Mus musculus: one gene and its partners. The protein of the gene in region 4 interacts with the protein of the main gene of each other region in a pairwise test. Links are inferred from orthologs where the notes say so. Each region holds a gene or a part of one and is shown on either strand. Other genes may lie near its edges. The genes, in order: Pex16, Pex10, Pex12, Pex19 and Pex11b.

What was found.
Region 1: the proteins of Pex19 (region 4) and Pex16 interact in binary tests that used the Homo sapiens proteins (3 or more experiments, as listed by UniProt). The link is inferred for Mus musculus from reciprocal best matches to the Homo sapiens genes PEX19 and PEX16.
Region 2: the proteins of Pex19 (region 4) and Pex10 interact in a two-hybrid assay, tested with the Homo sapiens proteins (4 studies listed by BioGRID and IntAct, with this or other methods). The link is inferred for Mus musculus from reciprocal best matches to the Homo sapiens genes PEX19 and PEX10.
Region 3: the proteins of Pex19 (region 4) and Pex12 interact in a two-hybrid assay, tested with the Homo sapiens proteins (4 studies listed by BioGRID and IntAct, with this or other methods). The link is inferred for Mus musculus from reciprocal best matches to the Homo sapiens genes PEX19 and PEX12.
Region 5: the proteins of Pex19 (region 4) and Pex11b interact in binary tests that used the Homo sapiens proteins (3 or more experiments, as listed by UniProt). The link is inferred for Mus musculus from reciprocal best matches to the Homo sapiens genes PEX19 and PEX11B.

Annotation. Positions count from the first base shown.
Region 1 is NC_000068.7:92,377,994-92,382,185, forward strand, and holds the end of Pex16 (peroxisomal biogenesis factor 16), read left to right. Parts: intron 1-599; coding exon 600-680; intron 681-802; coding exon 803-955; intron 956-1,040; coding exon 1,041-1,113; intron 1,114-1,222; coding exon 1,223-1,342; intron 1,343-2,416; coding exon 2,417-2,481; intron 2,482-3,042; coding exon 3,043-3,101; 3' UTR 3,102-3,227; downstream 3,228-4,192. UniProt on the Homo sapiens protein: Required for peroxisome membrane biogenesis. May play a role in early stages of peroxisome assembly. Can recruit other peroxisomal proteins, such as PEX3 and PMP34, to de novo peroxisomes derived from the endoplasmic reticulum (ER).
Region 2 is NC_000070.6:155,065,721-155,070,371, forward strand, and holds the start of Pex10 (peroxisome biogenesis factor 10), read left to right. Parts: upstream 1-1,309; 5' UTR 1,310-1,348; coding exon 1,349-1,454; intron 1,455-2,102; coding exon 2,103-2,183; intron 2,184-2,942; coding exon 2,943-3,349; intron 3,350-4,651.
Region 3 is NC_000077.6:83,295,700-83,300,408, reverse strand, and holds the start of Pex12 (peroxisome assembly protein 12), read left to right. Parts: upstream 1-1,431; 5' UTR 1,432-1,697; intron 1,698-1,855; 5' UTR 1,856-1,967; coding exon 1,968-2,093; intron 2,094-2,367; coding exon 2,368-2,921; intron 2,922-3,968; coding exon 3,969-4,368; 3' UTR 4,369-4,709. UniProt on the Homo sapiens protein: Component of a retrotranslocation channel required for peroxisome organization by mediating export of the PEX5 receptor from peroxisomes to the cytosol, thereby promoting PEX5 recycling.
Region 4 is NC_000067.6:172,125,191-172,130,079, forward strand, and holds the start of Pex19 (peroxisomal biogenesis factor 19), read left to right. Parts: upstream 1-1,564; 5' UTR 1,565-1,588; coding exon 1,589-1,658; intron 1,659-3,440; coding exon 3,441-3,550; intron 3,551-3,964; coding exon 3,965-4,130; intron 4,131-4,711; coding exon 4,712-4,797; intron 4,798-4,889. UniProt on the Homo sapiens protein: Necessary for early peroxisomal biogenesis. Acts both as a cytosolic chaperone and as an import receptor for peroxisomal membrane proteins (PMPs).
Region 5 is NC_000069.6:96,633,846-96,638,710, forward strand, and holds the start of Pex11b (peroxisomal membrane protein 11B), read left to right. Parts: upstream 1-1,584; 5' UTR 1,585-1,842; coding exon 1,843-1,898; intron 1,899-2,001; exon of another isoform or gene 2,002-2,065; coding exon of another isoform or gene 2,066-2,079; intron 2,080-2,828; coding exon 2,829-2,944; intron 2,945-3,285; coding exon 3,286-3,487; intron 3,488-4,865. UniProt on the Homo sapiens protein: Involved in peroxisomal proliferation. May regulate peroxisome division by recruiting the dynamin-related GTPase DNM1L to the peroxisomal membrane. Promotes membrane protrusion and elongation on the peroxisomal surface.

The DNA of each region.
Region 1 (4,192 bases), on a different chromosome or scaffold from region 4:
TCGAGTGCTCTACCACTGAGCTTCACTCCCATCCCTGAACTTGGGACGTGTGCAAGAGTCCTTCTTTTCTGTTGTAGGCTACAGGAACTAGGGATAGCGCACCAGCACAAGGTAGGTGTCCTGCCAAAATTGTCTTGGGCCTGGTTCTGTATCATGAACCGTATCCTCAAGAGGCAGGGCACCTGGCTGCTCTGGGCCCCTCCGTCAGCCTCCAGTCTTCCCCCTTATTTTGAAAGGGGACAGTGATGTGAACTTGACCACAAGAGATCGAGAGAATGCAGCCTCACAGTCCTATAGCCCCGACAGATGTTGATGGGGTGGGCCCTCCTATCCTTCCTTTAGTATCTTTAGGCTCTTGGTTGACTGACTGTGCGTGAGGATGGCCTCTTCCTGGGCCAGGGTAGGTGCCAGAGTGCTTCCCTCTATGGAAAGATTTTTGCCAAACCACGGTCTCTGGGTGTGATTCCCTTAGTTCAGCTGCTGCCTGAGGCCAGGCTCTTGTGCTCTGTAGATCCTCAAGCATTCACTGTACACATGTTCTCTGCAGGCTCTGCTAGGAATGTGTCCCTCTTACATTATGTCCTGTTTATGCCTGCTAGATGGTGACCACAATCCGGGCAGCCAGGAGCCATCATATGTGGGGAAACGGTCACACAGAGTGGTGCGAACCCTCCAGAACAGTAAGTGGAAGATGTAGCTGGACTGGGCACCTAGGTGCTGAGGTCAGTGTGAGCCCGTAGGACTGGCTTCTGTCAGCACCCACTCTGGCTCCTGGCTCACTGACCTTGTCTTTATATTCTAGGCCCATCCCTGCACTCACGGTACTGGGGAGCCCCTCAGCAGCGGGAAATTCGGCAGAAACAGCAGCAGGAGGAACTGAGCACACCCCCAACACCTCTGGGGTTGCAGGAGACCATTGCAGAGTCTTTGTACATCGCCCGGCCCCTGCTGCACTGTATCCTTAGCTGTGCTGGTGGCGGGCTGGGGAGGAGCTGAGCTGGACCCTGCACTGCAGATATCCTTGACATCTTGACCGTCAGTGCTCAGCCTGGGCTTATGGGGTCAGCGATCGTGGACACCCTGGCTACTGTCTGGTGTGGTAGATATGACTAGGTGAGAATGGGTGAGGATATGGAGTTCCATGGGGCTCTCTGCTTGCTGTGTGGCTTTTTCTTTCTCAGAGTCATAGGTCATCCTTGTCCCTATGTCCCTTCCCCTACAGCCTGAGTCTCCTGAGTGACAGGAAGAACTTGACCCGGAGGGAGCGGCTAGAACTGAGGCGTCGCACAATCCTGCTGCTATACTACCTGCTACGCTCACCGTTCTATGACCGCTTCTCTGAGTAAGGATAGCCTTCCTCCCATCACCAGGGTATTCCGTGCTGCATGGAGAGGGCTGGGGTCTGCTGAGTAACTGCTGGCTCTGGTGCTATTTAGCCTCCAGAGCCACATGGCCTGCCCTCAAAGGGGACAGGCCAGTGTGAATTTTCATACTTGGTGTTGAGAGACTGCTGACAGCAGGGTACAAGATCTGCAGGGCACAGTTGGTGCAGACTGCCCCTCTCCAGTTCTTTTCTCCATGGGACATCCACTTCGCAGAGCAGGCGCTATGCTTCAAAGGGGCTGGGCAACTAAGCAGGCCTCCACTAGACTGTTACTGCTGGGCCCACCCAACACTGATCAACTTTGAGGATCAGAGCCCCTGCATTAGCCAGAGAAATCTCTGAAAAAGGCCTGCCAGGGCACTATGACATATGGTGGGGTGTCTGAGCAGGAGCTGGGCTCATGTCCTCGCCTGTAAACAGGGACAGTGTTGGGGCCCGGCTGATAGGTTTTATAGCATGCGGTAACCGAATGTGTTTGCCTGTGCTTGATATATAATGACGTGATGTTAGGTCTTGTCCCCCCGAGGACTGCTGGGGTTCAAGCCGCAGGCCTCAATGCTAAGCACATGAACCACATCTCCAACCCGCCCCAAGTTCTCCTGTGGAAATCCCCTATCTTAAGCCTCTCTCTGAGGCAGAGGGGACCTTCCCAGACCCCGCCTACTCTGAGCATTGGCTGGTGAGGTTTCTGTGTAGTTCTGCTCTTTCACCAGCTTCCTTCCCTCCGGAAACTTCCAGGGTACAGACCTTGCTCTGAGTGGCCCCTAGGAAGCACTGTTGTTGAATACCAATGGTAGGAAGGTAGAAAAGAGAGGAGGGGAGGGGTATGAGTGACGTCTGCCAGCTGACAATCTGACAGCTGGGAACATGGGGTGCAGCTGTGGACAAGCAGACTTCCGGTGGTCTAGCCTTTCGTTGGGTCCTAGTCCCTTGTTTTCTGAGATGCCTGGTGCTCAGTAAAGGCCTTTAGCTCCTGGTCAGCAGGGAGCCGCCCCGCCTGCCCCTCAGCATGCTGTTCTTTTCCCCAATCAGAGCCAAGATCCTCTTCCTGCTCCAGCTGCTTACAGACCACATCCCTGGCGTGGGTCTGGTGGCAAGTAAGTGTGGTAGGACAACGTGGTGTGGGATGTCCCTGAGGCACAAAGGGCCCGTTTTAATGTTTGCTCTGTCCTTTTTTGGTGTGATTAATGGGCAGTCAGGAGTGAACCTGAAATCAGTACTGGGAGGTGACAGTGCCAGGGCCGAAGGTGGCCCATGGAGGTGGGGCTGTGGCCAGAACAGTGCCTGTGTTGGATTATTAGGCCATATCAGGTTGGCAAGCCTCCTCCTGCCTTTGGGACCTGCATATTTGGAGGCAGACTTATCTGGTAAGGCAAGGAGGGGCCTTGGGGCTTGCCTGGGTACCCAGCCATAAAGGAAGACATGCTGAGCATGTTCCCTGGCAACCTGGGCACCTTGTCTGTGACCTAATCTCTAACATAGCATCAGAGGCAGGAGGTGTGGTCTCGAGCTGCTCTGCTGGTGGCAGTGTCAGAACAGGGCACAGGGCAGGGCCAGGGGCCTGGCTCCTCTAACCCCGCTTCCCTCCATTGCAGGGCCTGGGGCCAGGGGCCTGGCTCCTCTAACCCCGCCCCCCATCCCCCTTCCCTCCATTGCAGGGCCGCTCATGGACTACTTGCCCTCCTGGCAGAAAATCTATTTCTACAGTTGGGGCTGACAGCCATGAGGGAGCTGGGGCAGAGGGCCATGTGCTGTGCTCTGCTGCTCTGGGCAGGGCCCCTCAGCCCTCCAGTTCCCCCAGGCCCCTCTTCTCTAATAAACCTGACTCTGGTAGTGTCCAGCATGTGGCTCTGTGTCATCAGCAGCTCCTCTCCTGCAGCTCAGCTCTTCAGCCCAGTCACCACAGCTGTTCCTCTTCACATCCTCCTAGAAGGAAGCCACTGCATTCTGCTCCTCGTCACAGAGCAGGAGATCTCCATCAGGCCCAGGGAGCTGCTGTCACTTAGCCTTCTCCGGCATGGGTCACCGTTTGCCTCAGCTGCCTGACTAGATGCTTCCATCTCACTAGTCCCTGGTGAAGACAAGCTGAACTGGGCCATGGATTACCGTAGTCTACCTAACATTCCTTGTAGCCAGGGCCCCCGTTTATCCTTTCCCCTGCAGGGCTGACCAGCAAGCCCTAGGAGATGCTCTTCTCTACCGCAGGAGATAGAGTGACCCTGAGTCTGTAAGGGAATGGGCAGAGTTTGGGTGTGTGCTGGAGTTTCTCTCCAGGACACTTCTCCACAGGCTGACTGGCTCAGGAAGACAGATTGCTGGAGCCATGCAGGCTACTTGGAGAAGACAGAGGAGGGTGTGGCAGGACTGCGTGGGCCTCAACTCTTCTGTCCATACTCCCTGTCCTTTCCTCTCTTCTTCTGCCCTTCCCTTTTAGACAAGAGACTTGTGGGCTTCAAACTCAATGGCAGTCTCATTGTGGGACCATAGGGCTAAGCTGTCACACCTCCCTCCCTCCCTCCTGTCCTTGTGTGGACTGTTCCCAGAAGTGCTGCCAATGGCCTTTGGAGAACACTGCCTGCACCTGTCCCTCAGGTCTCCCCTCATCCAAGATGCCCTCATAGTCTCAGCCTTAACCTGACATGCTTGTCACATGATTCTGAGAGCCATAGATGCCTGCTGTGAGCCAGGGTAGTGGGAAGGACAGTTTGTCCGTTTGTTGGCTTTGGAACCTGTGACCCTCTGCTTAGCCTGACAGGTGTCCTCTGGGTGCTTGCACTGTAGTGGTTATTCAATGCCATGCAAGGCATA
Region 2 (4,651 bases), on a different chromosome or scaffold from region 4:
TGAGGCCAGCCTGGTCTACAAAGTGAGTTCCAGGACATCCAGGGCTACACAGAGAAACAGGAGCCTGGCCTTTCTGTCCTCCATCCTTGAAGCAGGAGGAAGAGTTTACAAGGAGAAAGTCACAAGGCTCAGTCTTAGGATCCTTGTGCTTCAGAAGGCAAGGGGTGGGAGGTGGCAAGGGCCGTATGCCCCTTCCGTAAGCAAGAGCTCTCGCTCTACCTCCACCGCAGAGTTCTGGAACCCTGAAACACTGAAGCAAAGGGGGACTCCAGGCCACATGGTCATCCGAGAATCCAGAGAACTGATCTACAATGATGTCACTACTCATCTTGCCCTTCCACTTTCTCTCCTCACTGAAAAGCCTCTTGTTTCCCTGATCTGTGCAGGATCTGTTTGGGTTAACAAGCTCTAGCAGCCCAAGCTAGTAGAAAAGATGGGCTGATAGCTCCACCTGCTGGCCATCTTGGGTTTTGTCCCATAGGAAGAATCCTTGAGAGCCCACAAAGGAAGAACTTGAGGATCAAGGCACCGCTGTGCCTAGGATTTAAGCCCACGGAGAGAGACGCTTACTTAGGCCGTATCCCTGAGAACAACAGATACTTGAATAGTGTTTCTGGTCTTGTTCCCCATGGCTGAGAGAAGAGAATGCAAAAAAGCAGTCGCGTGTAAGGAGCAGTCCAGGCGGGGACACTTAGAACAGGCCATACCCCATGGTTATGGTAGAAATGAGCTTCCAAGTTTGAAAAGTCTTCCAGCACAAGCGGCCTTGGGCCTTCAGAGAATCTACATTTCAAACTGTCACATTTGATTTGGCTAGAAGTTCATGCCTCTGCATGAGCCGTGACTGCCTCCTAGCAGTGGTCAAAGGTGCTATCTGGGATTGCCCAACCCAAGCTGAAGAAACCAGGGCATGGGCAGGGAGGAACTCCAACAACTGGAGCCTTCAGCAGTCCGTTGGAATCACGTGGCTATCCCAAAAGATCCACTTTTGCAGCCCAGAGACACGTACCTCCTGCCAGAAAACTGAACCTGAATCAGGCCAAAAACACATCTGCGAGGCTGAGCTTTCTCGGGGGTCCTACCCACTAGGTATCTACCTCCTCCCTGTCATTACCCGCCACTTCACTGTGCCGCTTCACCCTCCAAGCACAGACCACACCCCTCCCCGGGTAGCCCCACCCCTATGTCGTGGACACGCCCACTACTCCGCCTCCACAGATGTCACGCCTAGGCTCCGCCTTCGCCCGCGTGGTGTTCGCAGCCTCAGCCCCACGACGGACGCACGTCGAGCGTCACAGGCCCCGCCCACGAGGTGCGCAGGCGCGGTGCGAGCTCTGCGATTCGGGCCATGGCGCGGGCGGGTGCCCCTGAAGTGATCCGGGCAGCGCAGAAGGACGAGTACTACCTGGGAGGCCTGCGGAGCGCGGCGGGTGAAGCGCTGCACAGCCTAGCGGGTGAGCGTTCCGGGCACCCAGACAGGCGGCAGCTCCAGAGTTTGCTTGGAAAGCGGGGATCAAAACAGAGGTACACACTGCTGACCACATTGCAGGTCTCTGCTTTAGTGTTTCTCAAGCATTTGCCCATTTATTCTCCAGACGCCCCTACAGGGTGGACCTAACGTCATTACTCTCATAGGTAGACACGTGGATCACACAGGCAGGGATTTGGGATTTCAGAGAGCCGAGGTTTGATACTAAACAGGTCGCCTCTGGCTTATGTTGTTAGCACTACCTAGACTTTCCTGGGCTCCATGTCTCTAGGACAGTACCTGACTCAAGACAGTTACAGTCGGGGCTTCTTAAGAGGCGGTCTTCGTCTCGGAGACATTCCGGTCACCAAGGGCAGCAGAGGAGGTGAAGGGAGAGACGAGTTGTTGAGGGTCGTCTTAGGAGTGACTTGACTTGGACTTTACCTGCCCTTCGGGAGTGACAGGGTTTCTCTGTGTAGCCCTGGCTGTCCTGGAACTCACTCTGGTCAGTCTGGACTCGAAATCTCTGCCTCCCAAATGCTGGGATTAAAGGCGTGTGCCACCACTACCCGGCTGGGAGTCATCTTAAGAGAACCACTTCACCTCTCTAGAGCTAATATTTTTCTTCTCTCAGGTGCAAAGAAATGGCTGGAATGGAGGAAAGAGATCGAGTTGCTCTCGGACATAGCCTACTTTGGCCTCACCACAATTGCAGGTAGCTGTCTGTGCTCGGCAGGTCCTGGGCACTGAGGGGCCCACAACCCACCCAGGTCTGGAGGGGATGCTTGAAGGCTCCTGGAAATCACCTGCATTAGTCTCTGTTTCCGGGAAGGAAGATACTGGCCAGAGGGCACTCACTGCCCCAGACTTTCTCTCAGCAGGATGGGCTTTTCCATTTATGGGGTACGAGGCAGATAAAAAGGAAGAGGCTATCGAGTGGGGGGAAGGGTACGAGCAGGGTCATGGTGAGACACATGGAAAGATCACAAGGTACTCCACAGGGCTGGCCTCAGGAACAGGAAGTCAGGATTCATCGTCTGCATGGTGGAGTACTAGAAGCTAGCTGCAAGCCATGGGTAGGCTTGGGGGCTTTTTATTCTGACTCCATGTGACAGCGTCAGGTAAGCAGTGGTATGTATGCCTGATACTTAGGACTCAGCCATCATCTAGAAGGTAGAAAGCCACAAGATCGGATCCCATCACTTGGACAGGGGTATGAGTTCAGCAGAGGAAGGACTGGAAAACAGAATAAAGACTTAAGGGAGTAGGAACCAACAGGAGATGCAAGGCCCATTCCAGAGTGGCCGTCTCTGTGACATGGTGAAATCACAGCAAGGCCACAGTGGGTTTAACAAGAAGTTGTGCTGGCCTTGGCTAGGTCTCAGGGTGACTGGTGAGGCTGGAGGGGGGACGACGACACAGGCTGGCCCGGAAACTTGTCCCTGGACCCTCATCACTGTGTATTAATCCTCAGGCTACCAGACCCTTGGGGAGGAGTACGTTGGGATCATCCAAGTGGACCCATCCCAGCAGCGTGTGCCCTCCAGGCTCCGCCGTGCAGCGCTGGTTGCACTGCATGCTGTCTTGCCCTACCTGCTAGACAAGGCACTGCTGCCCCTGGAGCAGGAGCTGCAAGCCGATGGCGATGCTCCCCGGGCTTCACAGGGCAGTCTGCTACCTGGAGGACGCAGCCGATCAGGGGCACGGCGCTGGGTGCGTCACCACGCAGCCACCCTGACTGAACAACAGAGGAAGGCCCTCCAGCGGGCAGTCTTCATCCTGAGACAGGGCTTCGCCTGCCTCCATCGGCTCCACGTGGCTTGGTTTTATATTCATGGTACCTTCTACCACCTGGCCAAGAGACTAGCAGGGATCACGTATGTAAGTAGCCATGCCAAGGGGACTGATATTCAGGCAGGGATCCTCTGAGCAGCATACTTGGGGACCCATGCTGACATGATCGCAGCCAAGTGTTCTGCTTCCAAGTTGCAATCGAAATTCTGTACTTGGGAAAGAGCGGAGTTCAGTTTTATTTTCCAAGAAAGCCCAGGAAAAGGAAAAGAAATCCAGTTCCCACAGACTGAAGGTGGCAGCAGACTTGGGTGCGTGGGCGGGTGACTGAGTGGCCAGGTCTGGCCTCGGCAGAGGGCCTGTGGCTGTGTCCATTTCACTGTTTGGAGAAGTGTGTGGAGTGCAGGTTCTAGCCCAGAGGCTGGCCTTCCCATGCATCCCTGCCAGCAGAGGGCCCTGTTCATCACCATCCAGAGCCCTAACAGAAAGGCAAGATCTGAGGGTTTGGTCCTAGAGTGAGTACATCGCCTCACCACAGCGCTGGCCACACAACAGTCCATACTGACCTTGTTGTTGCCTCTGGCAGTCCCCTGCCTCAACCCTAGTTTCCTACCAGTGCCCTTGTATCCTGTCACACCAAAGACCTCGCCCTGGTATCACCTCCATCCTCACCACCTACCTCACCTGTCAGGGGATCAAATGCCACCTCTCCCCTCTCCCTCCAGCCAGTGCGCTCCTCCCACACTCACTTATTATAGACACACCCATAGTCTGGTCTCAGGCCTTAACTTCCTTCCATACTGCCAGATAAAGCAAAACCTGCCCAAGCAGTCATCTAGTTTAGCAGATGTGCCTCCTTTCCCAGTAGCTGCTGAATGCTGGGCACTGGGTTTTGCTGTAGGGCTTGCAGTTTTCCTGTTCCAGCCCAAGGCACGATGTAACCTGGTGTCTTCATTTCCCTGCCAGTGGGAAGGCAGAAGTGGAAGGCAGCATAGTTTTGTTGTGATGTGTATGGCAGATACACCACTAGCCAGAGCAGAGGCTAGACCAGCATCCTTAAGGGCCAGAGTATCAGAGGGACAGTAACCACCTGTCCAGGTCCCCTTGCTATTCTCCACCCCACTCTTCCTTGGGCTCCTTCCCTCCCCCTGAAGTAGTCCCCAGACAGCTCTAGAACCCTCATCCATTTGCCTGGTCCATCCAGACTCCTGGGTCTGTGCTGCGGATGCCTCAAGGTCACCCTATAGCTAGGGTTCCCAGTCACTACTTAAACCCATCTCCATGTTGGTTCTTGTTCTCGGGACACTGCCAGTGGCCAACAGGAGGCCTGGCTGAATATAAAACCTCCAGCAGACAAGAGGCCAGGTCCTAAGGGATCCTGATGGCCAAGGT
Region 3 (4,709 bases), on a different chromosome or scaffold from region 4:
TCTACCTGTTTTAGCTATTTCTTAGCTGTGTGTTTTTGCTATTCACTTAAAAGCATAAACAGCTAGAGAGATGCTCAGTGGGCTGGAGAGATGGCTCAGTGGGCTGGAGAGGTGGCTCAGTGGGCTGGAGAGGTGGCTCAGTGGGCTGGAGAGATGGCTCAGTGGGCTGGAGAGGTGGCTCAGTGGGCTGGAGAGGTGGCTTGGTGGGCTGGAGAGATGGCTCAGTGGTTAACAGCACTGGTTGCTCTCGCAGAGGACCTGACTTTGGTTCCCAGCACACACATGGTCTGTAACTCCAGTTCCAGAGAATCAAACATACTTTTTTGACCTTTGCAGTTACCAGGCTGCATGTGGCACATACATATATGTGCCAGCAAATACTAGTACAACCTAAAAATCTTTTTAAAATTAAGACCCCATTGGTTAGCATGCGATATTTACCAGATGCTTTATGTAGTTCTCGGGTCCTTAAAACTCAAGGCTGAGCACGAAAGCCAACTTGAATGCTAGCCAAGGATATGTACATAAACCTTAAGACTCTTAAGCTGAAGCCGGGCGTTGGTGGCGCATGCCTTTAATCCCAGCACTCGGGAGGCAGAGGCAGGCGGATTTCTGAGTTCGAGATCAGCCTGGTCTACAGAGTGAGTTCCAGATCAGCCAAGGGCTACACAGAGAAACCCTGTCTCGAAAAAAAAAACCAAAAATCAAAAAAACTTTTAAGCTGAAACAAACATTATTTAAAACAAAAATCTTTAATACTTTTTAGAAATTCAACAATTGCACTTCTGACAGTGACTTTAGTGAAGTATGGATCATACTTTAGAACTATAAAAAAACTTCAAAATTTAAATTGAAACTAAAACCAATCCCTTTATAAGGTTCTCATTATACAAACCAATTGCCCACTTTTATACCCTAAGGTCCTCTAGAGCTGAATGCTACTATTCAGTTCGAGAATCATAACGATCCCTGCGCTGCTAATACTGCTAATACCTACTGAGCTGGAGGGCAGGAATCAATTTCATCTAGCAGAATGTGCCTAGAGCTATAACTTAATTTTACACATGGATGACAAGTTAAGCTGTCTGTAAGTAAGTAAAAAAGTAGCCGTCCTAAATTCTGGTAGGCAAGAATGAATCTTTTGTCATTTTAGTAAAACTTGCTGATAACTGACTAACACTCGGGAAGGTGGCCGACTTTGAGCTAAGCACCACCTGGCAGAAAGGACCTGGCTTGATCTCCCATGGCAACCGGCGTCAGGCAGGGACCCCAGCTCGGCACAGAGGCTCGAGTACCGCCCTCCAGGAAGCTTCGCTCAGAGCTAACCAGGAACAGAATGCACTCACTGCACTAACCCGTCGCCTCGTCGTCAGGGGGGCGGAAACGGAAGTCCCAGTTGGTCATAGAGTTCCCGAGTTCCGGCTCAGGGCTACATTCGATGCTAGAGCGCCTGTCTTCCGCCCGCCGTGTGGAGGTCCTCGGAGCTTCTGTTTCCGGGTACGGTTTCGGTCACAAAGCCGAGACCTCCTTTCGCAGGTGGCGTCACGGGTCCTCTGCTCCGTGCCCGAGGTCAGCAAGCAAGGACGGGCGCTTCTCAGGCAGCCGCCGGAGCCGGGCCTCGCAGCTCCCGGACTGCGGTTCGAGCGACACGTTTCTTGGCCCACTCCCCGCCTCCGAGTCACGCTCTGCCCTGTGAGGTGCAGCATTTGACAAGTCATTCCCCAGACCCCACGTGCCACGTCCCCAGCTCCGGAGTTAACAGTCCTTACTTTGAGACTCCCTCTCCTCCGCCTCCATATAAGCTCCCCCCACCCACCCCCGTTGATTTTTCACTCCTGTAAAATTCAATTTTTAGTTTCAGGTGCCATGCAGAAGGACTAAGACTCAGCACCCGTTTGATACAAAAACAAGTTCATGCTCACTAGAGTGTTCGTGGGAAAAGTGAATCCCAGTTCACACAAGACACAATGGCTGAGTATGGGGCTCACATCACAACTGCTTCAGTGGCGGACGACCAGCCATCCATCTTTGAGGTGGTAGCACAGGACAGTTTAATGACAGCAGTGAGACCCGCTCTTCAGCATGTGGTCAAGGTAAGGTATTACTTCTCTGAATCGTTTCAGGGACGACTGGATAAAACTCCAAACATTTTACTAGTAACCCTAAGTTTGCAATGATCGCCATGTGTCATTTGTATCCAGGACTTAATGGGCATCCATTCAAAGAGCTCTGTACTCCATTCCTATGACCTCAGGAACTCAGACTATACCCCAAAAGCCAATTACTTAAGCCAGGTGTATTGAATTTAAAAGGAAAAGGCTGATGTGAATACAAACTGAAGACTGTAATAAAATGTTTTTGCATCAGGTTCTTGCAGAATCAAATCCTGCGCACTATGGCTTCCTCTGGCGGTGGTTTGATGAAATCTTCACTCTGCTAGACTTCCTGCTCCAGCAGCATTATCTTTCTAGAACTAGTGCCTCATTTTCTGAACACTTTTATGGCTTAAAGCGGATTGTGGCAGGGAGCTCGCCGCATCTTCAGAGACCGGCCAGTGCTGGTCTTCCCAAGGAACACCTCTGGAAATCTGCCATGTTCCTTGTCCTTCTTCCCTATCTGAAAGTGAAGCTAGAGAAGCTGGCTTCTAGCTTGAGAGAAGAAGACGAATACTCTATTCACCCCCCTTCTTCTCGCTGGAAACGATTCTACAGAGCCTTTCTGGCGGCCTACCCTTTTGTTAACATGGCCTGGGAAGGCTGGTTTCTTACACAACAACTGCGTTACATCTTGGGGAAAGCTGAGCATCACTCTCCCCTGCTGAAACTGGCTGGAGTTCGGTTAGCTCGACTGACAGCTCAGGACATGCAAGCTATCAAACAGAGACTGGTTGAAGCCAGTGCAATGCAGGAGCCCGTCAGAAGGTAAGGCCATTCCTAAAACCCCTTTATTAACAAAATTTGAAAATTTGTACCAATCATCCGGTCTACCCTAGCTATTAAGTCACAGAAGTTATTCCTCACATCCATAAAGCATGGGCCACCATCCTGGTGACCTCTCTCATAATAGGCACACCTTTGTGCATGCTTGGTGTATGTAAGAGCCCCATGCGTGGTATTTGCTTTGTGTTATCTTATGCCTCATCACAACCTGAATTAAATGCAGTGGCTTCATTTAACAGTTGAGGGAACCACTAGCCAGAAGATGGCAGAGCAAAGATTCAAGGCAAAGCGATATAATTAATTCTAAAGACTTCTTACCAAGGATGCAACATTACCTTTGTGGAGTGTTAATTCTCTCACAAGTTCAACATGTATGCATCCCAGTGTTGATAAGTTACTTTTTAGGTAAACTGCTTCTTCTGGATGGATTATCTATCTTCCATTTAAAAATTCTCTAAAGTTAAGTATCTGATGCCTTTCTCAAATCAAAACCTAAGTTTCTGTTGTTAAAAACAGCTTGGGGGCCGGGCAGTGGTGGCACACACCTTTAATCCCAGCACTTGGGAGGCAGAGGCAGGCGGATTTCTGAGTTCCAGACCAGCCTGGTCTACAAAGTGAGTTCCAGGACGGCCAGGGCTACACACAGAAACCCTGTCTCGAAAAACAAAAACAAACAAACAAAGAAGTTTGGGGTACAGCAGGAGAAATGGCACCGTGGTTATGTAAATGGCATGTACTGCTCTTCCAGAGGAACAGAGATCAACCCCCAGAACCCATATGTGGCAGTTTACAACTGCCTATAACTTTAGGTCACCTGGCCCAAACGGCACCTGCATGCATTTGGTGTGTGTACAAACAAGCAGACACAAACATAAATCTTTTAAAAACCAGAACACCAGAGTTTAGATATACACTGGCTTACAACAGACCCTCCAGCACATCAAGTGTGGAACTGCACCTATAGACATTACTCTGTGACCACATACAAATAAACTCTTTTCTTTGCCTCTTGCTCTCCTTTCCCAACAGCGTTGGTGAGAAGATAAAGTCAGCTCTGAAGAAAGCTGTGGGAGGTGTTGCCTTATCCCTCTCGACTGGCCTCTCTGTGGGTGTATTCTTCCTGCAGTTTCTTGACTGGTGGTACTCTTCTGAGAACCAAGAAGCCATCAAATCACTGACTGCCCTGCCCACTCCACCACCACCTGTACACCTAGACTACAACTCTGATTCTCCCCTCTTACCCAAAATGAAAACAGTGTGCCCACTCTGTCGTAAAACTCGAGTGAATGATACGGTTCTTGCCACCTCTGGCTATGTATTCTGTTACCGCTGTGTGTTTAATTATGTGAGGAGTCACCAAGCCTGTCCCATTACAGGGTATCCAACAGAAGTCCAGCATCTAATTAAACTCTACTCTCCAGAGAACTGAAAGAGCTTAGTGCATTATCTCACCACTCAAGTTCTATACTCTAAGGCCATGAGACGGTTTTAGTATGGCAGACAACAGTGATACTTCCCTGATTCATAACTACATTAACTTTAAGTAGTTACATGGGTTTCTTTAAAAGGATATATCCATTCGATCCTAACCTTTTGGTTTGCTCTCTACCAAGCTGGTTAAGCAGGAGAATCAGGATTATCGGTGGTGTGAGAGCCAATGTGGAGGTGAGTTATAAAAGACCACCTCACTTAAAGAGTAAGGTTTTAAGTTGGATGTGGTAGTATAGTATCAACACTCTGGAGATGGAGGCAGGATTTTGAGTTCAAGGC
Region 4 (4,889 bases):
GTGTTGTGTGTTTAGGTTTTCCTCATAGTATCTGGGTTATTTATGCTGATTATCAGCATTGCTGCAATGAGTAAACTGGAACATACATTGTGTGTGTGTGTGGGGGGGGGGGAGTGTGCCTGACTGAGGAGGAAAAGCTGCTCCAAAGAGCACAGGACTTTAGTGTTTTCAGATTTAAGAGTTGCTTTCTTAAATATAATCCTCAAACTAAGACTGCTTTCTCAAAAATGTGTATATTACGGGAATATTTTCTTAAGTTTTATACATTCTTCCTTCAAGGTCAGGCAAGAATCTGGCACAGCAATTCACAGCCATAATTCGGATTCTTGGAAGGTTAAAGCAGAACAATTGGCTAAAGAGCAAGATGCTGTCTCAAAAAAAAAAAAAAAAGATATCATGGTGGTTAAAGAGATGGCTTAGCTGTTTAGAGCAAAGACTGTTCTTGCAGAGGACTCAGGTTAGTTCCCAGCACCCACATCTGGTGGCTGCCAACCACCTATTGCTCTAGCTCCAAAGGGATTTGCCACTTCTTGCCAGCTGAATAGAAAAGAGAGACAGGTGTGGTGGTACACGCATTTAATGCCACCACCCTCGAGGCAGAGTCAAGAGTATTTTTTTCGTTCAAGGCCAGCCTGGTCTACAGAGTTCCAGGAAAGCCAAGGCTACATACAGAACATTCTCGATAAAACAAAAACAAGACAATCCCCCCAACACACAAAGAAAACTGAAAGAAATGATTCAAAGAAAGAATGCTTGTTTTTTAATCTGCTTAAGTAACATCTGTGTTTCCAATTCTATCTCCAGTCAACCTCTACAGGTAGGACCATCCCTGATCCACTTGTAGATTTCACTGTGCTCAGCACGATTGTATACAACAGTAGATGCTCATTATACGCTAAAAATAAATTGGATGATCTTTGTTTATCTGTTTTGTGTATATGTCAAGGAGCATATTCGGAGGTCAGAGCCAGCACATGATAGACATCTCTCCTACCACGTGTGCTTTGAGGATGAAACCAAGGTTGCTTCAATTTGGCAATCCTGTCTCAAGCGAAAAATTGCTCGTTTAATAGCTTCGTATTTTAGCTGAGCCCTGTGCTGTAATCTCTGTCCTTGGGAGGTGGAGACAGTAGGATTAGAAAACCCTGCCTGAAAACAAAACCCAGATTAAAGATTCCAGGTTAAAGATGGGGCAAGCAAAACGCAATAAACCCTCCCACCCCTTCTGACCCGCCCCCACAATACAGCTGGGCCTCATGGGTCAAGTAGTTTGGAAGTGGAGACGGGGAAGGGAGACCCCGATTTCTGGACCAGCTTGAGCAATCTATCTAGTTCAAGGCAAACCGCTGTGGCTCTGTAGCTCCAGTAGCCGAGTGCTTGCTTAATACGTGCAAGAACCTAGGTTTGAGGCCCAACCCAAGAAAAAAAACAAAAACAAAAACAAACCCAGTCTCCTGTCCCTTTAAAAATGGCGGTCCTGCACGGTAGAACGATATTATTGGCTGCTCAAGTCATGGGGGCGGGGTTGGGGCGGGGCATGTGGTGGCGCCAGTGGTTCCACCTCCTACGGCAAGTCGGAGGCAGTAAGATGGCGGCTGCTGAGGAAGGTTGCGGTGTTGGGGTCGAAGACGACCGGGAACTGGAGGAGCTTCTGGAAAGTAAGAGTGCACGATGGGAAAGACCAGAAGTATCGGGGAGAGGATCCATCGTGGGGGTTAGAGGAACTTGAGGTTTCTGAGCGGGGCGGGAGAATCTCTTCAGTGGTCAGCGGGGGAGGTGGTCTGAGTTCGACCCCGGCCCTCTTTATTAGCTGGCTGTGTCCAAACCGCACATCTCCCTGCGAAGGGGAACACTAACCGTAAAGAGCTGTTTCACGAGCCCCTTACAAACTTCTCTTGCTTTCGATTGTCGGATTGTTGTTGAGGCAAGGCTCTCTCACTCGGTATCCCAGGCTGATCTGGAACTCGCGGCAGTCTTTCAGCCTCCGCCACTGGGAGTACAGAGATCACAGGCTGGACCCACCAGGATCGCCTTCTGTAAATTATTAAAATCGCCTCTCCTTTCAGTAGCAGGATTCACAGAACAAAATAATCTTTAAGCTCCAAAGGTCCATATGTCCATGATAGTATCTTTCTTAACCCGAAACGCCTTTTTACCGCACAGTCTTTCCTCATTCTTTTACCAGACCCTTAGTTCTTTCGTGCGAGTAGTCAAAGAAGTCTCCTTTTAAAATTAGTGTGATGTTGAGAGACTGTCTCGTGTAGTTTTAGGCTGACCTCACACTCATTGAGTACTGTAGAGTGGCCCTGAACTTGTGATTTTTCCAGTCCCTTCCTCCGCATTCTCGCATGGCACCACAATGCCTGACATCCCTTATTTATCCTTTGGAGAAAACAAAGTGAGCCAGCCCCAGGGGAAAAGGTCTCCTCTTCCTGAAAAGATGGTGGACCTTCATCTCTTTCTTGGCCTTGCACTCCACTCCCGTTTCCTGCGCCAGTGAGGCCAGTGCCCTTTCCCTAGTCCTGGCAGGCAGAGTGATGGTGACAACACAGGCTTTTCAGGGCAGAGGTGAACCTTTTATCTCTTGCTCAGTCACAGCGATATAAGCAGGTAGAAAATGAACAGATGAAGTGAGGAGTGCCCAGTGACTGGCCTGGCCCAGGCTTACTGCATATGAGGCCAAGGAGGCTATAGGTGCCTGTTAAGGGCGATCTAAATTGGAGCATTATTTAAGAGTTAATACCTTCTTGTCGAATGTATCCTAGTAGTCAGAACGGTGGAAAGCCGGGTGGTATATTCTGTGCTTCCTCAACAGACGATATTAGCTAAGGCCTCAGAGTGAATTCCAAGAAATAAGGCTCTCTCTCCCCTCTTCTTCATGTTAGATGAAATGTGTAGGTTTTTGTTTGTTTGGTTGGTTGGTTTGGTTTTTCAAGGCAGGGTTTCTCTGTGTAGCCTTGGCTGTCCTGGAACTCACTCTGTAGACCAGGCTGGCCTCGAACTCAGAAATCTGCCTGCCTCTGCCTCCTGAGTGCTGGGATTAAAGGCGTGCGCCACCACGACCCAGCAGGGTTTTTTTTTTTTTTTAAGGGAATTTTATAGTGTGCATATAGAGATTTCTTTGCACAGCTTTTATTTAATTCTCTCCTCCTAATTCTGAGATGAACACTGGTTCTGTGTAAAAGGGTTTCCTTCCCAACTGGTCACAACAAACTAGATGGTTCTCAAGGAAGGTGGGAAGCCTATTGGCCAGTAGTCCAGGCAGAAGAGACACCAGAAAAAGAGAGAGAAGTCCAGGAAAGCCAGCACTTTGTATCATTATTTTCCTAAGAGTTTGTTTCAAATCACACGGCTGTCTAGCCCTTTCCACCCTCAACATCGCCACCACGTCCGTCTCTTGTCTCCGAAGGTGCTCTTGATGATTTCTCTTGTCTCCGAAGGTGCTCTTGATGATTTCGACAAAGCCAAACCCTCCCCAGAACATGCTCCGACCATCTCGGCTCCCGACGCTTCAGGACCCCAGAAGAGAGCGCCAGGAGATACTGCCAAAGTATCAATTCCCCCACTTAAGGGAGAGGGAGGATGGCCATGCAGCTCAGAGCAGGGATGGGGGGCCCTCTGGGCCAGAGGGGTGGCTGAGAGGGTGCCTTTGCCTCACACTGCTGAGTGTTCTTCCAGGCCTCAGTTCCTATGAAACGAGGACCTGTGGTTTTACGGAGGGCTAACGAGGAAAGAGGAAAGAGCGGTTTTAAGTGGTTGGCTTTGTATGCTACCTCATATTAGACCTTCAGTGGCCAGTCTTTGCTGCCCTCCGGAGAAGAGGTAGATGGAATGTTCAGTGGAGGTGCTCGTGGGAGGGGAGATGTTTCATTTCCCAATATGAGCTCGTTTAAGCGGCTAGCCCCAGGGTGATGCTATAGGAGGCAAATGTTGTCTCCCTCCCCACCCCACCCCACCCTTGCAGGATGCTCTCTTCGCCTCCCAAGAGAAATTTTTCCAGGAACTGTTTGACAGTGAGCTGGCTTCCCAAGCTACTGCGGAGTTTGAGAAGGCAATGAAGGAGCTGGCTGAGGAAGAGCCCCATCTGGTGGAGCAGTTCCAGAAGCTCTCAGAGGCAGCTGGGAGAGTGGGTGAGGAAACCCCAAACATAATACTGGACAGGCCTCTTAACTGATTGAGAGTACCAGGATTGTAAAATTGATGACCATCATGATGTCACAGCCATGGCTGGGGGTGGGGGGGTGTAAGGCAAGAGAAAGAGCTGTGGGAATCTAGCTTACTAAAAGGAAAAAGGTAAGATATTTTGGAAAGTAATGAAAAAAGATTATTCCAGCCAGGTGTAGTGGCTTATTCAATCCCAGCACATCAGAAGCAGAGGTAGACGAATCTCTATGAGTTTGAGGCCAACATGATCTGCATGGTGAGTTTTACAACAGCTGGAACTACAGAGTGAGACCGTACCTCACAAATCCTCACAAATCAATACGATTCTCCCAAAGCAACCCTTTTAAAGGAGTGTTACTGTGGAGAACAGCTAACACAGTACCAATATAGATTCATGGCATGCCCGTGAAGGTAACTACAGAACAACTAAGATTTGGAAGTGGTAGTAGCTTGCTAGTAAATGCTCTCCATCCAGGCTGGTAACTAGATGGGTGTAGACAAGCTGACAGTGAGGATCCTAGCTAACCCTGGGTCTTTTGTCTCCCAGGCAGCGATGCAAGTTCTCAGCAAGAGTTTACTTCTTGCCTAAAGGAGACGTTAAGTGGCCTGGCCAAAAACGCCACTGAGCTGCAGGTAAGGGGGAAGGAGTGAGGGGAGGCCGCTCTCAGTGCTTCCTAAGCAGTCTCACAAAACAGATGCTGGGTGGGGAGGGGGCCTGGAGCCAT
Region 5 (4,865 bases), on a different chromosome or scaffold from region 4:
TGGTACACGCCTTTAATCCCAGCACTCAGAGGAGGCAGAGGCAGGCAGATTTCTGAGTTCAAGGCCAGCTTGGTCTACAAAGTGAGTTCCAGGACAGCCGGGGCTATACAGAGAAACCCTGTCTCGAAAAAAAACAAAAAAAGTAAAGTGAGGATGTCAGATATATTGGAGTTAGAAACAGTTGTGAGCTGGAAGAGCAGACTGTACCCTTAACCACTGAGCCATCTCTCCAGACTCCTCCCTCACCCCCACCCCACTTTCTTTCTCCAGGCTGGTCTGGAACTCACAAAGAAAGATCTACCTGCCTCTTCCTCCCAAGGCTGGTATCAAAGGCATGCACCACCACTACACAGTGGTTTTGGTTTAAATATCTAATGAGGTTTTTGCCTGCATGTATGTTTATATACTATCTGTGTTCCTGGTGCCTGAGAAGATTAGAACAGGGCTCCAGAGCGTCTGGAACAGAAGTTACAGATGCTGTGAGCTGCTATGTGGATGGGGGATTCAATCTGTCTTCTGGAAAAGCAGCCAGTAGAAAAGCAGCAGAGCCAACTCCAGCCCTAGATTTCTTTTTATAGTGGTTGTAGAGATCTTGTTTGTGATATTGTAGGTTTTTTGTTGTTTTGGTTTTTTTCCTCCTCACAACTATAGTCAGGCTATTGCTGCTACAGGCAAGTTTTTTTTGTTTGTTTGTTTTTGTTTTGTTTTTCAAGACAGGGTTTCTCTGTGCAGTTCTGGCTGTCCTGGAACTCACTCTGTAGACCAGGCTGGTCTCAAATTCAGAAATTTGCCTGCCTCTGCCTCCCAAGTGTTGGGATTAAAGGCGGGTGCCACCATGCCCGGCTTCGCTTTTTTTTTTTTTTTTTTTTTTAAATAATGTGTAAAGGTGTAAAAGTGTTTTCCTTGTGTACCATGTTCATGCCTGGTACCTGCTGAGGTTTGAGAAGGGTGTTGGATCCCCTGGAGTTTACCCCCCTACTGCCTCTCCCCATCCACTTCATTTCTCTTCAGAAGAAGGCAGGTCTCCGTTAGGTATCAACAGCATGGTATATTAAGTTGCAGTAAGACTAGGCACCTTCTTTGATTAAGTCTTTCATGAGGCAACACAGCAGGAGGAAAGGGTCCCGCAGAATCAGAGACAGCCCCTGTTCCCGCTGTTAGAAGTCCCACAAGAAGACCAAACTACACAACTATAGCATGTGCGAAGCAGTCTCATGCAGGCTCCCTGTAGCAGTTCAGTCTGAGCCCCTATGGGCCCAGTTTACTTGACTCTGTGCATTTTCTTGTACAGTCCTTCCCCTTGTCTTATGCAAAATTCTCCAAGGTCTGCCTAACTTTTGGCTGTGGGTCTGTGCCTTTGTTTCTACCAGTTGCTGTGTGAAGCCTCTCTGATGACAATTGGGCTAGGCACCAATCTTTGAGTATAGCAGACCATCGTTGTCAAGCGGCATCTCATTACATCCGCTTTCCCTAGGACAAATAGTCTAGGACAGGCTTCTGCTGTTCTGGGCGTTTGGGGCGGGTGGCGTGTGCGCCTTGGCGGCAACCTACAGCGCCTCCTGGCTCCCGCAGGCCCCACCCCTTGCTGCTGAGAATTTAAAGCAGAATGTGCTCCTAGGGGCGTGCTTAAAAGCCGGAGACCATCCCAGAGAAGGGTGAGCTGCCGGAAATGCACCCACGATCTCGCTTCGCGTCCTGAAATTCCACTTCAAGGCCGGCTCCGGCTGCTTGGCTTTCCTGCCGCCGTTTGTCCCTCGCGAAGCCCCGTTGCTCGCCCAGGAGGCGTGACTTGGGGCTGGAAGCAGGCGGGCCGCTGCGCCGTGGGCCCGGGCTGCCGCTGTCATGGACGCCTGGGTCCGCTTCAGTGCTCAGAGCCAAGCCCGGGAGCGGCTGTGTAGGTGCGGCCGACGGAGGAGCGCGGGCGGGAGGGCAGAGCAGGGTCCCGCGAGGCGACGGGCGCGCTACGGGGTCCCTAAGGGTCAGCTGTGGCTACGGGGGCCCGCGCGGCCCCGGAGGCGTACTCCGCAGCCGGTTGTGAGATGATTCTTCCCTGCTCAAGGGAAAGATGGGGAAACTGAGGCATGAGTGGGCCAGCGGGGAGGCCACCTAGGTTTACTGTGTCCACAGAGAGCAACAGTTTCCTCGCTGCTGTGGTGGCACGAGGGGCGATCCTCTCGGTTCTGCGTCCTCTCACCAGTTGTGACCTAGGAGCCTCGCTATCTCGGCTCTTCTTCGGTTTCCATCAGTCCAAGAACCTTAATCTATCTCTTAGTTTACCTACCCGGAGAACTAATCTGCCCTTCAACTAGATCTTCCTCTGTCGTGTTTCATGTATAAAATCGCAGTGTGGACGTCTGCGATGAACCCCGGGCTGCTTACTGGCCCTAAACTTTAGGCCTCATCATTTTCAAAACTCTTAGTCTCTTAACTCCAAAGAGTGCTCTCCACCATCTTCTAGGCTTTATTTTCCTCGCATGTCTTTCCCTTCCCCTGGCTTTGAGGAAAAAAATGGAAAGATATTGGTGTGAAACCGAGGAAGTGTCCCTGGTGGGGTTTTTGTTTACCAATTATTATTTGTCTGAGTGTTTGGTCTGCAAGAATGTATGTGTACCACATGTGTGTCTAGTGCCTGCAAAGGACAGAAGAGAGTGGTGGATCCCTGGAACTAGAGTTACAGACAGTTATGAGCCACCGTGTGGGTGCTGGGAGTGGAACCCGGGTCCCCTGCAAGAGCAAGTGCTCTTAACCGCCTCACCAGCCCACGGAGGATATGGTTGGCAGAGGGGTTAGGGAGGCCTGTCCCTTACTCTACGTGTCCTCCCCTCCAGGGCCGCCCAGTATGCCTGTTCCCTTCTCGGCCATGCTTTGCAGAGACATGGGGCTAGTCCCGAGTTACAGAAACAGATTCGACAACTGGAGGGTCATCTGAGCCTCGGACGAAAGTGTAAGTAAAGCAGACCTTCCTCTTATCATCCTCAGCTGGTAGCCCATGGCCTCTCCTCCCGTTCTGCCAGTTCGCCATCATTTGCCACTCTCCTGCATGCCTCCAGTTGAGGTCAGAGAACAGGTATAAGGAAGTTAGCACTGATTGGAAAAACACGGCACGAGAACACTAAACTGGCACAAAAATGAATTACGATTGGAAGTTAAGAAAAAGAACAAATTATTTTTACTCTTTCTTCCTGTATGTTATTATTGCTTGCTCAACTTTTATTTTTCTCTTCCCCACCCCCACCCCTGCCTCTGGACTTCAAACCCTTGCTTTCCCTTGTTAATCTCTACAAGTGCTACGCCTGGGGAACTCAACAGATGCCCTGGAGTCAGCCAAAAGGGCTGTGCACCTGTCAGATGTCGTTCTGAGATTCTGCATCACTGTCAGTCACCTCAACCGAGCCTTGTACTTTGCCTGTGACAATGTCCTATGGGCTGGAAAGTCTGGGCTAGCTCCCCGAGTGGACCAGGAAAAGTGGGCACAGCGTTCATTCAGGTTGGTTTTCCTTTTATCCTACAAGACTATGTGTAGCCTTCATTCTGCAAAGCTTGCAAAGCTTGCATCGCTTGTAATAGTAAACATTTTGCTTTACACATATGGGTATTTTGCCTGCATGCCTGTGTACCATTTGTGTGCCTGGTGCTGGCAGAGGCCAAAAGAGGGCATCAGAATTGTAGTTCTAGATGGTTGTGAGCTGTCATGTGGGCTCTGGGAATCAAAACCCAGGTCCCAGGGAAGAGCAGCCAGTGCTTTTAACCACTAAACCATCACTCTAGACCCATATATTTACATTAATAAAAGTTACTATTGTAGGTGCTGCACATCTGTAGGTCAGACAACAGCTTTCAGTTGCTGGTTTTCTCCTACTGTGAGTTCCAGGTATCAAACTCAGGTTGAGAATAAAACTCAAGCCATTAGGTTTGCGTGGCAAGAGCTTCCACCTCCTGGCCCAGCTCCACTTCCATCCTCCTGGTCCATAACCTGCTATATATGAGACAGAGGGGTCTCAGGATTTTTTTTTTTTTTTTGAGTGTACAATGACTTTTCACGCCCATTGTTCCCACATCTGCTGATTCAAGCAACCACAGGCTGGAAATGTTGAGGGGAAAGTGCATCTGAATTAAACATGAAAATTGTTTGTGTCGTTATTCCTTAAACATTGCACATATATTGTATGAAATATTATAAACAATCGAGGTGGATACAGAGAATTGTGTGGAGTATGTATAGATGCAATACCACTTTATCTAAGGGACTTGAGCAGCTGTGGGTTTGGGTAGAATTGGATGGGCGAGCAGGGGGAAAGATCCTGAAGTTGATCCTCCATGGATGAACTGACTGTAAATTATTTGTTTACTTTTTTTGTTGTTTTTTTAATTTTTCAAGACAGGGTTTCTCTGAGGGATGTGGCATTACCACTCTGTATGGAGGACACTTTGAAAGGGTTGGTTCTCTCCTTCCACCACTTAGATCTCAAGATTGAACTCAGGTCATCACATTTGGTGACAATGCCTTTTTCCTGCTGAGTCATCTTGTGTGGTGTTTTTGTTGTTTGTTGTTTTGTTTTGTTTTTAGGTAGGTCCCACTATGTAGCCCAGTCTTGCCTGAAACTTAGGATTCTCCTGCTTTAGGTGCCCGGGTTCTAGGACAGCATTACAGGCATGTGATACCATGTCTAGCTTCTTTTTCTTTTGCGATAATGGGGTCGGGGTCCCATAGGACTGAGATAACACAGTTCTTCTATAAGCATGAAGACCTGAGTTTGATTTCCCAGAACCCATGTTAAGAAAACAAAACCAAGAACCAGGCATACTGACACATTCTTGCAATTCCAGCAGTGTGGAGTTAAACTGGACAATTCCTAAGGCTCTCT